2 linked regions of the Arabidopsis thaliana genome follow. The protein of the gene in region 1 purifies or fractionates together with the protein of each later gene. This does not show direct contact. Each region holds a gene or a part of one and is shown on either strand. Other genes may lie near its edges.

Evidence for each region. Proteins that work in one complex are often made in the same cells at the same time.
Region 2: the proteins of AT2G36580 (region 1) and CSY1 fractionate together in Arabidopsis thaliana (co-fractionation; one large-scale study listed by BioGRID). This does not show direct contact.

Annotation. Positions count from the first base shown.
Region 1 is NC_003071.7:15,337,402-15,343,620, forward strand, and holds AT2G36580 (Pyruvate kinase family protein), read left to right. Parts: upstream 1-1,720; 5' UTR 1,721-1,851; coding exon 1,852-1,920; intron 1,921-2,100; coding exon 2,101-2,197; intron 2,198-2,280; coding exon 2,281-2,378; intron 2,379-2,472; coding exon 2,473-2,628; intron 2,629-2,726; coding exon 2,727-2,804; intron 2,805-2,914; coding exon 2,915-3,046; intron 3,047-3,163; coding exon 3,164-3,244; intron 3,245-3,372; coding exon 3,373-3,444; intron 3,445-3,547; coding exon 3,548-3,637; intron 3,638-3,780; coding exon 3,781-3,925; intron 3,926-4,048; coding exon 4,049-4,137; intron 4,138-4,255; coding exon 4,256-4,351; intron 4,352-4,447; coding exon 4,448-4,515; intron 4,516-4,603; coding exon 4,604-4,703; intron 4,704-5,030; coding exon 5,031-5,090; intron 5,091-5,227; coding exon 5,228-5,380; 3' UTR 5,381-5,685; downstream 5,686-6,219. Other genes in the region: AT2G36570 (Leucine-rich repeat protein kinase family protein), read left to right, coding at 1-324; ProT3 (proline transporter 3), read right to left, coding at 5,721-6,098, 6,162-6,219.
Region 2 is NC_003074.8:21,720,259-21,725,360, forward strand, and holds CSY1 (citrate synthase 1), read right to left. Parts: upstream 3,533-5,102; 5' UTR 3,469-3,532; coding exon 3,232-3,468; intron 3,110-3,231; coding exon 2,929-3,109; intron 2,767-2,928; coding exon 2,681-2,766; intron 2,607-2,680; coding exon 2,502-2,606; intron 2,428-2,501; coding exon 2,365-2,427; intron 2,291-2,364; coding exon 2,181-2,290; intron 2,095-2,180; coding exon 1,975-2,094; intron 1,891-1,974; coding exon 1,741-1,890; intron 1,666-1,740; coding exon 1,545-1,665; intron 1,445-1,544; coding exon 1,347-1,444; intron 1,234-1,346; coding exon 1,122-1,233; intron 868-1,121; coding exon 808-867; 3' UTR 515-807; downstream 1-514. Other genes in the region: CSY2 (citrate synthase 2), read right to left, coding at 4,306-4,446, 4,521-4,644, 4,740-4,837, 4,948-5,068.

The DNA of each region.
Region 1 (6,219 bases):
AGATCAGCGGCGTCGGTGGCTGTGGAGGAAGAGGAAGAAGCGGTGGTTGATTTACCGAAGTGGGTTAGATCGGTGGTGAAGGAGGAATGGACGGCAGAGGTTTTTGATCCGGAGCTTTTGAGGTATAAGAACATAGAGGAGGAGATGGTGGCAATGCTTCATATCGGTTTAGCTTGCGTTGTGCCTCAGCCGGAGAAGAGGCCGACGATGGCGGAAGTTGTTAAGATGGTTGAGGAGATTAGAGTTGAGCAATCTCCGGTCGGTGAGGATTTTGATGAGTCACGAAACTCAATGTCTCCGTCGTTGGCTACCACCGACGGCTAAGTTTGGTTTCTGTCTGTCGATGTTGTAGAATACGTATCGTTTGGACCTTGTCGATTTTTAAGGTTCTTGCTTAGAATCCCTGATTTGCGAACTTGTCGGAGTTTTTTTAGCCATGTTTTGTGTTTTCACTGTTTGTGATCGTAACGGGGTTGTGTGGTTTTGTGGATTTATGAAGCCGTTTCAATAATAAAACCCCATTTGTTACTCTTTAAAGCCCATTAGGCCCATATGTTTTAGATGAATTATTTTGCAATTGCTGCTATTTAATTATAGAACCTAAAACTCGAACGCCCATTGATTAGTGCTTCTAGAACGGTGGATGCTTCTGTGTCCACTGGTAATTGTCTTTTTGGTTGAAGAGTCAGCCCTTCGGATTTGACCTTTCGTGTACCTTTTAAGCCCATTGATTATGATTGGCAGATTAAGTAAATTAACGAATGGTCAAGCACATGATTAGCCAAATCATGACAAATAAATGGATTCCTTTTTCATTTCTGGAAGCGGAATCTTGTCTAACAATTTTTTTAATTGATAGTAATATTTTATGTTATGGGTTTCTGATAGTTGAAGACTTGAAATGTTGAACTTAAAAGTGAAATTACGCTTTCATAATTTCATTAAGCCATGATGGCAAGTTTTTTTTTTGGGTTGAGGTCAACAAGAGCAAGTTTAATGGTATCGAATAGTGCGTAACTGAAATAAAACTTGTTGAAAAATCATTCATTCACTATTCCTCGGCGCGTGAGGCCAATTTGACCCCTTCCCCCACGAAATTAAACTTGGGGAGTACTAAAAGTCTAAACCAGCAACGTCGCTTTTCATGTGCCTTAATCACACCCTTTTCTGCCACGTGTACGATCTGGGACCGTCGTTGTGCTCATTGACATTTGTAGATCCCTTTCTAGATGTTCATTAAAATTACTTAATTTATATCCAGTCCTTCTACTTTTAGTTTTTTGATACTTTAATCCCTGTTGTTTTAATGATACTTCATTCAGTATCCATCCAAAATCAAATTAAATCCATAGATTAAGATGTACATTTTTGAAAATAATAAATGGTTTATTATAATATGTTACTAAATTTATGGTATTTTTCGCTCTTGTATTGACTTTTACATGGATACATTAATTTTAATCTTCTTTGATTTCTGTTAATTTTCTTTGAATTCATTTTATACATTTATTAGTGAACTATTCTAAAAATTAACAAAATCATTTAAACCGACAAAAAAAACTTTAAAAGATCAGCGTATTATAAACCAACGGGGGATAGTTTGCATTAGGTATTGGACATCTGGGGGGTAAATAGAGCGAAACAAAAGTTGAGGCTTGTTTTTCAACATTTTCATTTTATTGTGTGCTATTTAAACTGCGTCGTATTTGGAGGCATATTCGCCGGTCAAGCGTATCAAATACCCAATCACGCGAACTTTTCTCCGCCTCTTCTCCACTCCAAAATTCTTCTCCGTCTTTCTCCCGTCACCGTCGAATAAAGCCTGAGATCTCCGAATTCTGATCAGCAACTATGCATTCAAGTCATCTCCTTCTCGAGGAACCGATCAGGATGACTTCAATCCTCGAACCTTCTAAATCAGTGAGCTATTTATTTCTCCTTCTCTCGCTCTGTGTGTTTTCTGTGGTTGTTTTGATTTCCTTAGCTCGTTGTTGATTATCGATTACGTTTGGATCTGTTGCGATATTTCATCCATTTTGAAGCAGTGAGAGATTTGTTTCGTTTGTCGTGGTTTTTGATCCGCTTGATGTTATTTCGCAGAGTTTCTTCCCGGCTTTGACTAAGATTGTTGGGACTCTAGGTCCGAAATCTCGATCCGTCGAGGTGATTGCTGGTTGTCTCAAAGCTGGAATGTCCGGTAATTGCGATTACTTCACTATTTGATACGTGATTCGCCTGGGGTTCTCTTTACTGGTTACTGATGTGTCGTTCTTTTTGCAGTGGCTCGATTCGATTTCTCTTGGTGCGATGCTGATTATCACCAGGAGACGCTGGAGAATCTGAAGATAGCTGTGAAGAGCACTAAGAAGCTTTGTGCTGTATGTTTTCTCTTTTCTTTGGTTTTGCTCTGCTGGATCTTATTTGGTAATGCTTAATACCATGAATTAAGATTGTGGTTTATGGCTTTTCCAGGTTATGCTAGACACTGTAGGACCTGAGTTGCAAGTTATTAACAAGACTGAGAAAGCTATTTCTCTTAAAGCTGATGGCCTTGTAACTTTGACTCCGAGTCAAGATCAAGAAGCCTCCTCTGAAGTCCTTCCCATTAATTTTGATGGGTTAGCGAAGGTTTCTATATATAACCCTTACCGTTTATTTTTTGGGAGAAGATGATTATTGCTTCGTGTCTATAGGGTTTGATGGATGTTATTGTTTGATGTATTCAGGCGGTTAAGAAAGGAGACACTATCTTTGTTGGACAATACCTCTTCACTGGTAGTGAAACAACTTCAGTTTGGCTTGAGGTATAAAAGAATTTTGCTTATGGAACCACTCTACACTGTTCTCTGGAATTCAAATTTAGACTTTAGATGTTTTTTTTGTGAGAAGACTAACCATTTAAACAAACCTTCAGGTTGAAGAAGTTAAAGGAGATGATGTCATTTGTATTTCAAGGAATGCTGCTACTCTGGGTGGTCCGTTATTCACATTGCACGTCTCTCAAGTTCACATTGATATGCCAACCCTAACTGAGAAGGATAAGGAGGTAAGTGTTGCTTATAATTTACATATCTCAGTGACTGCTTTGCTCTGTCTCTAGTAATATTCTAGCTTATCTGTTCGAGTGCTTTAACTATTTTGTTCTGTTTTGGTTCTCTTCTAGGTTATAAGTACATGGGGAGTTCAGAATAAGATCGACTTTCTCTCATTATCTTATTGTCGACATGCAGAAGATGTTCGCCAGGTCCATATTCTTTTTCATAATATATTTTTTCCACCTTAGAAGTATGGCTACTTCGTTTGGGTTCTTTACTCACTACTAATTCTGAGCTTCTGATACGCTTGAATTATCATTTTTGTGCCACAACACAGGCCCGTGAGTTGCTTAACAGTTGTGGTGACCTCTCTCAAACACAAATATTTGCGAAGATTGAGAATGAAGAGGTAAGTGAAATGCATTTATTTTGCCTTTACATGTTTCCTCTGCAACTTTTCTGTGATGGTGCTGTACTGCTGTTTATATTTACCGATGTGTATTTGATTTTAGGGACTAACCCACTTTGACGAAATTCTACAAGAAGCAGATGGCATTATTCTTTCTCGTGGGAATTTGGGTATCGATCTACCTCCGGAAAAGGTATGATGTTGGTCAGTCAAATCAATACGTTTGGGTCCAAACCCCTACGCACTTTCTATGTAGATTGGTGTGTGACTGTGTGTCTTATTAGACGATTAGTGATTTTCTGGAACGAAGTACTAAGTTGACCGAAAAACTTGTAGGTGTTTTTGTTCCAAAAGGCTGCTCTTTACAAGTGTAACATGGCTGGAAAGCCTGCCGTTCTTACTCGTGTTGTAGACAGTATGACAGACAATCTGCGGCCAACTCGTGCAGAGGCAACTGATGTTGCTAATGCTGTTTTAGATGGTATACTTAGTTTCTGAAATATGTATTTTGTACTGCTTATAATTTATAGGAGGGAATACATATTTGTGGATCATAGTTTTGGTCATAACTTTAAGAGGGTTTCTTTCCTTTCGCTTCCTGCAGGAAGTGATGCAATTCTTCTTGGTGCTGAGACTCTTCGTGGATTGTACCCTGTTGAAACCATATCAACTGTTGGTAGAATCTGTTGTGAGGTAGGCTTTATCGTACTGTTCTAAAGTATTATTATTTCCATCACCTTCTTAGTATCTCAATCATCTTAGCCATGGTTTGTCATCTGATTTCTCTTATGCATTGATTACTTGTTTATAGGCAGAGAAAGTTTTCAACCAAGATTTGTTCTTTAAGAAGACTGTCAAGTATGTTGGAGAACCAATGACTCACTTGGAATCTATTGCTTCTTCTGCTGTGAGCCTCTCTTTTGTGTTACCTATGTAACTTAAAAGCTGACAAGTTGCCTTTCAAGTTTTCTAACTTAATGGCTTAAATTCTGCTTGATATCAGGTACGGGCAGCAATCAAGGTTAAGGCATCCGTAATTATATGCTTCACCTCGTCTGGCAGAGCAGCAAGGTTCACACCATTCCTTCCAACTTAAACTGTTCGTACATTTAAATTCTAATGTAGCTGTCTAATAAATGTTTTATCCATATCGTGAAAGGTTGATTGCCAAATACCGTCCAACTATGCCCGTTCTCTCTGTTGTCATTCCCCGACTTACGACAAATCAGCTGAAGTGGAGCTTTAGCGGAGCCTTTGAGGTAAACTTTCATCCTGATTGTGTGAATTTTGAAAAAGAATTGGGATTTTCTAATGCCACTTGTCAAGATTCAATGATTATGGTTGTTACTTGCTTATGACTGCATATACTATTTGGCAATTGTCCCCATGATGCAAAGGAATAACAACTCTTAAATGTGCTTTATAATTGAAGATAAAAAAGAAAGTTACCCTTTGGAATAATGTCACCTCTTATAGATTTCTATGTATGACTAGAAAAGCTTTTGTCATATCTGAATTGCATATATGGACTTTCTTTTGATTATTGCTCAAACTTAACATCGTGTTTGTGCCTATTGTTGTCTCAGGCAAGGCAGTCACTTATTGTCAGAGGTCTTTTCCCCATGCTTGCTGATCCTCGTCACCCTGTAAGTCTCTATTGCATAGAATTTGATTCATTGCAAAAAGATTCTTGCTTGCAAATTTAGTGCTATAGTTGCAATTGTAACTTTAGTGGGGTTTGAAACCGTATTTTCTCTAATGTATTGTGAATCCTCTTGTTCAGGCGGAATCAACAAGTGCAACAAATGAGTCGGTTCTTAAAGTGGCTCTAGACCATGGGAAGCAAGCCGGAGTGATCAAGTCACATGACAGAGTTGTGGTCTGTCAGAAAGTGGGAGATGCGTCCGTGGTCAAAATCATCGAGCTAGAGGATTAGAAGAAGCAGAGTGAGTCGTTGTCTCGGTCTTTTTTGTTCTGTTACTAATCAATTTTATTTCCTTCACTAAAACTCTTGGTGCCGTCCAAGAAAAATCCTTGCAATCATTGTTTCTCGCCGGCTATATGCTAGATACCGGAGTGAAAATATATCTCCTGGGCTTTTGTTTTCGTATTTAGGAGATTGATGTTTCCAAGTTATGATATAAACCACTTTCCACTTTATGCATAATATCTCCATCCCCTAGTAACCATAGTTCTATATACATTGTTTTATTGAAAATTAATTTTATTGATAAGAAATCCAACTAAGAATAAATACGATGAGTATATATTATGAATTACAAATCTGCAAAAACGTGGAAGTTTTTGGAGTCAAGGGCGATGAGCCTAAGAGCTGCAATGGCGGCAGCAACAGACATCAAACTGAAGAAGACAACGTTGAGCCAATGGCATAGCTTTTGCAAAGTATTGAGCTTATTGTTCTTAGCCTTATAGTACATGTGGTTGGCTAGAATGAATGTAAGGGGGAATGTGCTCACTGCACCAGTGAGGCTCATGAAGTCCCCAAGGAACGGCAAGAGTGCTGAGAGAAGCGTACTAACTGCTATGTACCCGCCTCTTGCCATGATCCTAAACAACAAGTTCTTTAATGCCAATGGGTTTCCTTTGATCCCAAACTTGGTGTCCATGTACTCATATGTTGGACTTGCAAAAATCTACAAAAATTGAGTAAGAACGGATTGACTAACACATAATTCTTTTCTCGAAGAGAAACTTACGTGCAACGAGATAACGGATTGAAGGATAGCGGAGATGTTAGCAAGGGCTTTAACCCAA
Region 2 (5,102 bases), on another chromosome or scaffold:
CTCATTCAACACTATATTGTATGACATTTTTTTAAAAGGATATGATTTGGTGGTTAACTAATTATTCCGAATCAATGTGTGATATATAAAAAATCTTAGAACTAAAGCAATGTGTTATATTAACTAAAGAAGAATAAGAAGATCTTCTTTTAGAACTTTCCTCACAAAAGGCACAATATCTATCAAAAGTTATGTCTTAATTTCCTATACCAACTTAATTATTAGATGGAATTGATTATAGAACCACTATACTTAAGATATGTTTTAAATCATAAATTTTAAAATAACAGACAAACAAATGAAAAACAAATTCAATAGTATGTAGATTATTGAGTGTTTTAACTATAAGGAGAAAGAAAACAACACACATTGTTGAGAAGACCCTTTTGGTTTTCGTCATTATTGCTGCATATATGTTCAATTACCAATCTCATCTTGATTTGTTGTCTACTATCTTCTTACTGTTTCGGTTATATTTAATTTAGATTTGAACTGTTTTTATCACTTTATGATTATTGTTCAACATCATATTCTTAAAAACATGCTATAATACACAAATATTTTTATTTTATTTTGACAACTTATACATACATAGACACACACACATGTATTACTAACTCGAGGTCGGATGGGGTTTACCCAAACTATATTTTATATAAGCATATATATTCTTTATATATATTTGTATATTCGCTTGGCTTTCCGAGTCAAATTTCATATTAGTAGTATAGGAACGAGACTTGACCCAGCTAACGCCTTCTTGATGCATTCGAAATGGAAACTTGACCCAACTGATCCAAATCCGAATCACAGCTTGGTTCTTTCTCTCACTGTCTCGTAATGCCTTATCCCCGCTCCAGTATAGACCTGTGCCAAAAAAAACTTTTGATCTATTCAAAAACTGCATATATCCATTAAAAATTGTATTACTCATGAGCCAAAAAAAGAAGAAGGTTCAAGTCATTAATATATCCAAGAGTGTATGTATCTATGCATAATGTATAATCTCATGAGCAAAAAAGAAAACTTAATTACTCATTGATCTATCAAAAAGTGTCTTTATTAGCCATGAGCCAATGTTATCTAAACAAAGTCACTTATATATTAAAGGTGTATTTTACCTGTTGGGGTCTCATGATCTTTGTGTCAGGATCATCTAAAGACTCACGCCAGTGTGACAAGTATCCAGCGATACGTGATACTGCGGTGAATGATGATGGGATTCCCATTGCCCTGTGTTTTGGCCCATTTCAGTTACCAACAAAAAAGATTCAAATAAAGAAAGAACTCAATGGTTACAACAACTCATTAGTCAGAATTTGTTAGATAACTAATCAATGTCTTACCTATTGATTAATCCAGAGTAGAAATCAACATTTGGGTACAGCTTTCTCTTAACAAAATATTCATCAGAAAGTGCCGCCTTCTCTAGAGCATCTCCTACCTGAAAACATTATTTATACACCAAATATTTTCTTAAACCAAATTCATCATACATATGAAGGATTCAACAAGGAAACGTGAGCAACAAGAATACAGAGTACCTCAACCAGAGGATCCCTTCCAAGAATGGAGAACACTTCATCCGCCAGTTTCTTAACGACTTTTCCTCTGGGATCGTAGTTTTTGTAAATGCGGTGTCCAAAACCCGACAACCTCCTCTTCCTGGAATAAAAAGAGTTAACATTAATGGAATATTGACCATCACATTCTAGGTATACTCTCTAAGAATTGAGTTACTTATTCTTCACGCTTTCAATGAACTCTGGAATATTTTCAACAGTCCCAATCTCTGATAACATGTTAATCGTAGCCTCAACTGCACCACCATGAAGGGGACCATAAATGGCTCCAACACCTCCCGAAACAGCAGTATACACATCACCACCACTACATAAACAGAGGATTTATGTGCTGATTAAAAAGTATCTCATAGCAGACTCAAATGAATCTCTAACCAATGATAAGTAGTACCTAGAGGAAAGGTGCCTAGCAGCAGCAGTAGAGCAGTTCATTTCATGTTCAGCTTGCAGTATGAAGAGGATGTCCAGCACTCGAGCCAAACGAGGATTAGGCTTGTAAGACCTATCTCCCCTGTAATCAATGGAAGATGAGACTAAACAAGTGCACAGTTTTATGGCTACCATCTCCAAATCAAACAAAGAGGGACAATAACGTACATTGATTCCACCATATAGAGGAAATTCTCTGAATAAGAAAGGTTGCTCAAAGGTTGAACAGGAGGCTTGCCTGCCTTCCTCAAATAAGCAGCTGCTGCAATTGTTGGGGCCTGCAGACACGTTATATTATAATTCATAGTCCGGTTATACATTGAGGCACCAAATCACACAGACAGAACAATACCTGTCCAAGAACACGAACAATCTGTTTATCACGAACTTGTTTTGACTTGTAAACACCTAGGCCCTGCACCAAATGGGGATTTCCATGTCGGCGTGGAAATTTTCAGAAGAAAGCAGGATTATAAAAACGTAACTTACCATAAGAGACGGATTTGCATCAGGATAAAAGATGGAAAGTGCACTCATTGCAGTGACAAGAGCTCCTACTGGATGTACATCATTAGGCATGGACTGTATCATATCCTGTGAAAACATTCAGATAAATCATCTCACCTCGAAGATCTAGAGAAAGTTAGGAAAGAGTAGAAGAAACTCACCAATACTCCTTGTGGCACAGCTGAATTCTGAGAAATCGCAAACTCCCAATCAGCTAGCTGTCTTTGAGAAGGCAGATTCCCATAAACTGCATGCAAAAACAAAAAAAGCAGTAGTAAACTAGAGCACTAAGGGAGACAAAATTTTAAAGAAATACCCACACAAAAGCAAGACTATGAGCTATACAAGATGATCAAGATGATCATAATTAAGCAACAACAATGAGCTATACAAGATGATCAAGACTTACTTAGGAGATAAGTAACCTCTGTATAAGTACTTTTCTCAGCCAACTCCTCAACTGGGTATCCCCGATAACGTAGGATTCCCTCATCTCCATCGATGTAAGAAATCGAAGATCGAACAGGAGCCGTGTTTAAGTAACCAGGATCGTATAAGTTAAGCCCCTTGTCATCCTTCCCTGTCGTTATCTTCACACCAAACATGAAAATCCATTTATACACACTCACACAATATACAAAAAACAATCTATTCGTAGTACTAATGGCCACAATGAAGAAATAACTTCAGCATAAAAACTCATTATATATACCTTCTTGAGATCAACGGTTTTAACGGTACCATGCTCTGAGACTGGGACCTGATATTCATTCCCCGTACGCTCATCGACGATCTTCAAATTTCCTTTAAGCGATCCATGCGGTGCAGCGGTTATGTGAGCCGATGTGCACCATGGTTCGATCGCTGGCAACACCTGATTCGGCTCAGATACTGTCAAGTGCGCATTGAGAACGGCTAATCGAGCTCTAGCTCTCTCCGAAATCTCCATTTGTCACCTCAAAAAGATCACAATTCAAGAAAGGGAAGCGAATAAGAAACCAAGTGGCTGTTGTAGTTCAAAGTGATATATAGGCATGCATGGTTTTATAGTGGGGAAATTTGATAATTTCATTACGTAACACTTTTGTCTTAATACTTTTGTGGGTATGATTGGCGTGAATCTACAGTGTCTTCTTTGTCTTCAATCAGAGTTTTGTGGCTTTTAACCAATTTTAAGTATGTGTCTCTGCGACAGTTATGTATTGTTTTGGTTGCTTCTTACTTCTTTCTGTTAATCAGTGTCAGGTACTCCAGGGTTTGTTATTTAACGTCACTTTTCTTTTATATTTGTTCACACTTCTCACAATTGTTCTCATTTGAAATGGAAATATTATTGGCAATAATGCAAAATGATAGGAAACTTTCAGGCAAATTATAAATACCGTACAAAAAAATATGATATGATGTTCAATGAGTGGTTAGCTTATTGTTATCACTTGGAATCTGCATAACATATTCACCCTAAAAATAACATTCAGTTAATCCTAAATGATATGATTTGGTGGTTGACATTTTCCAAACCAATGTGTTAGACATGTCTTCAGAAATTAACATTAACAGGAATAAAAGCGCAATTTATCAAAAGTACATGTCGTTCCCTATAACAAGATTATTATTATTAAATCATAACATTTTAAAATAACAGACAAACAATAAGAATAGGGTTGTATTATTAAGTGTTTAAGAATAAGAGAAAGAAAACAACACATGTTGTTGAGAAGACTCTCTTGTTTTCCCAGAGGTATCCCAATGTTTTCTTCTTTATTGGTGAGTATTAGGATTGAGACTAAAGGGCAGATGATCCAGCTAAACGCCTTCTTGATGCATTCGAAATGGAAACTTGACCAAACTTATCCTTATCCGAATCACTTGATAACGTTCGTTCTCTCACTGGCTCGTAATGCCTCATCCACACTCCAGTATAGGCCTATATGCAGCCACACAATTCAGTTAGCTCAAACTATAAACCTTTTGATCTATCAAACAAGTTATGTATTTTACCTGTTGGGGTCTCATGATCCTAGTGTCAGGATCATCTAACGACTCACGCCAGTGTGACAAGTATCCAGCCATACGCGGGACTGCGAACAGGACTGTGAAGAATTCTGGTGGGAATCCCATTGCCCTGTGTTTTTCCCCCATTTCAATTACCAACACAAGGTTCAGGTAAAGAACTTAATGGTTACAGGGTCTATGTCAGATGAATCAGCAATGTCTTACCTATAGATTAATCCAGAGTAGAAATCAACATTTGGGTACAGCTTTCTCTTAACAAAATATTCATCAGACAGTGCCGCCTTCTCTAGAGCAACTGCTACCTGAAAACATCATCCGTCAAAACAAAATTTAACCCACAGTCATGTTATATAAGAATTTTTTTGACAACCAAATACTAGGAGAGATACGTGAGCACAAGGATCTACAGTACCTCGATGAGAGGATCCCTACCAACAATGGAGAACACTTCATCTGCCAGTTTTTTTATAACTTTTGCTCGGGGGTCATAGTTTTTGTAAACACGATGTCCAAAACCTGACATCTTCCTCTTTCTGAGAACATAGAAAAGGGATATAACATTACCGG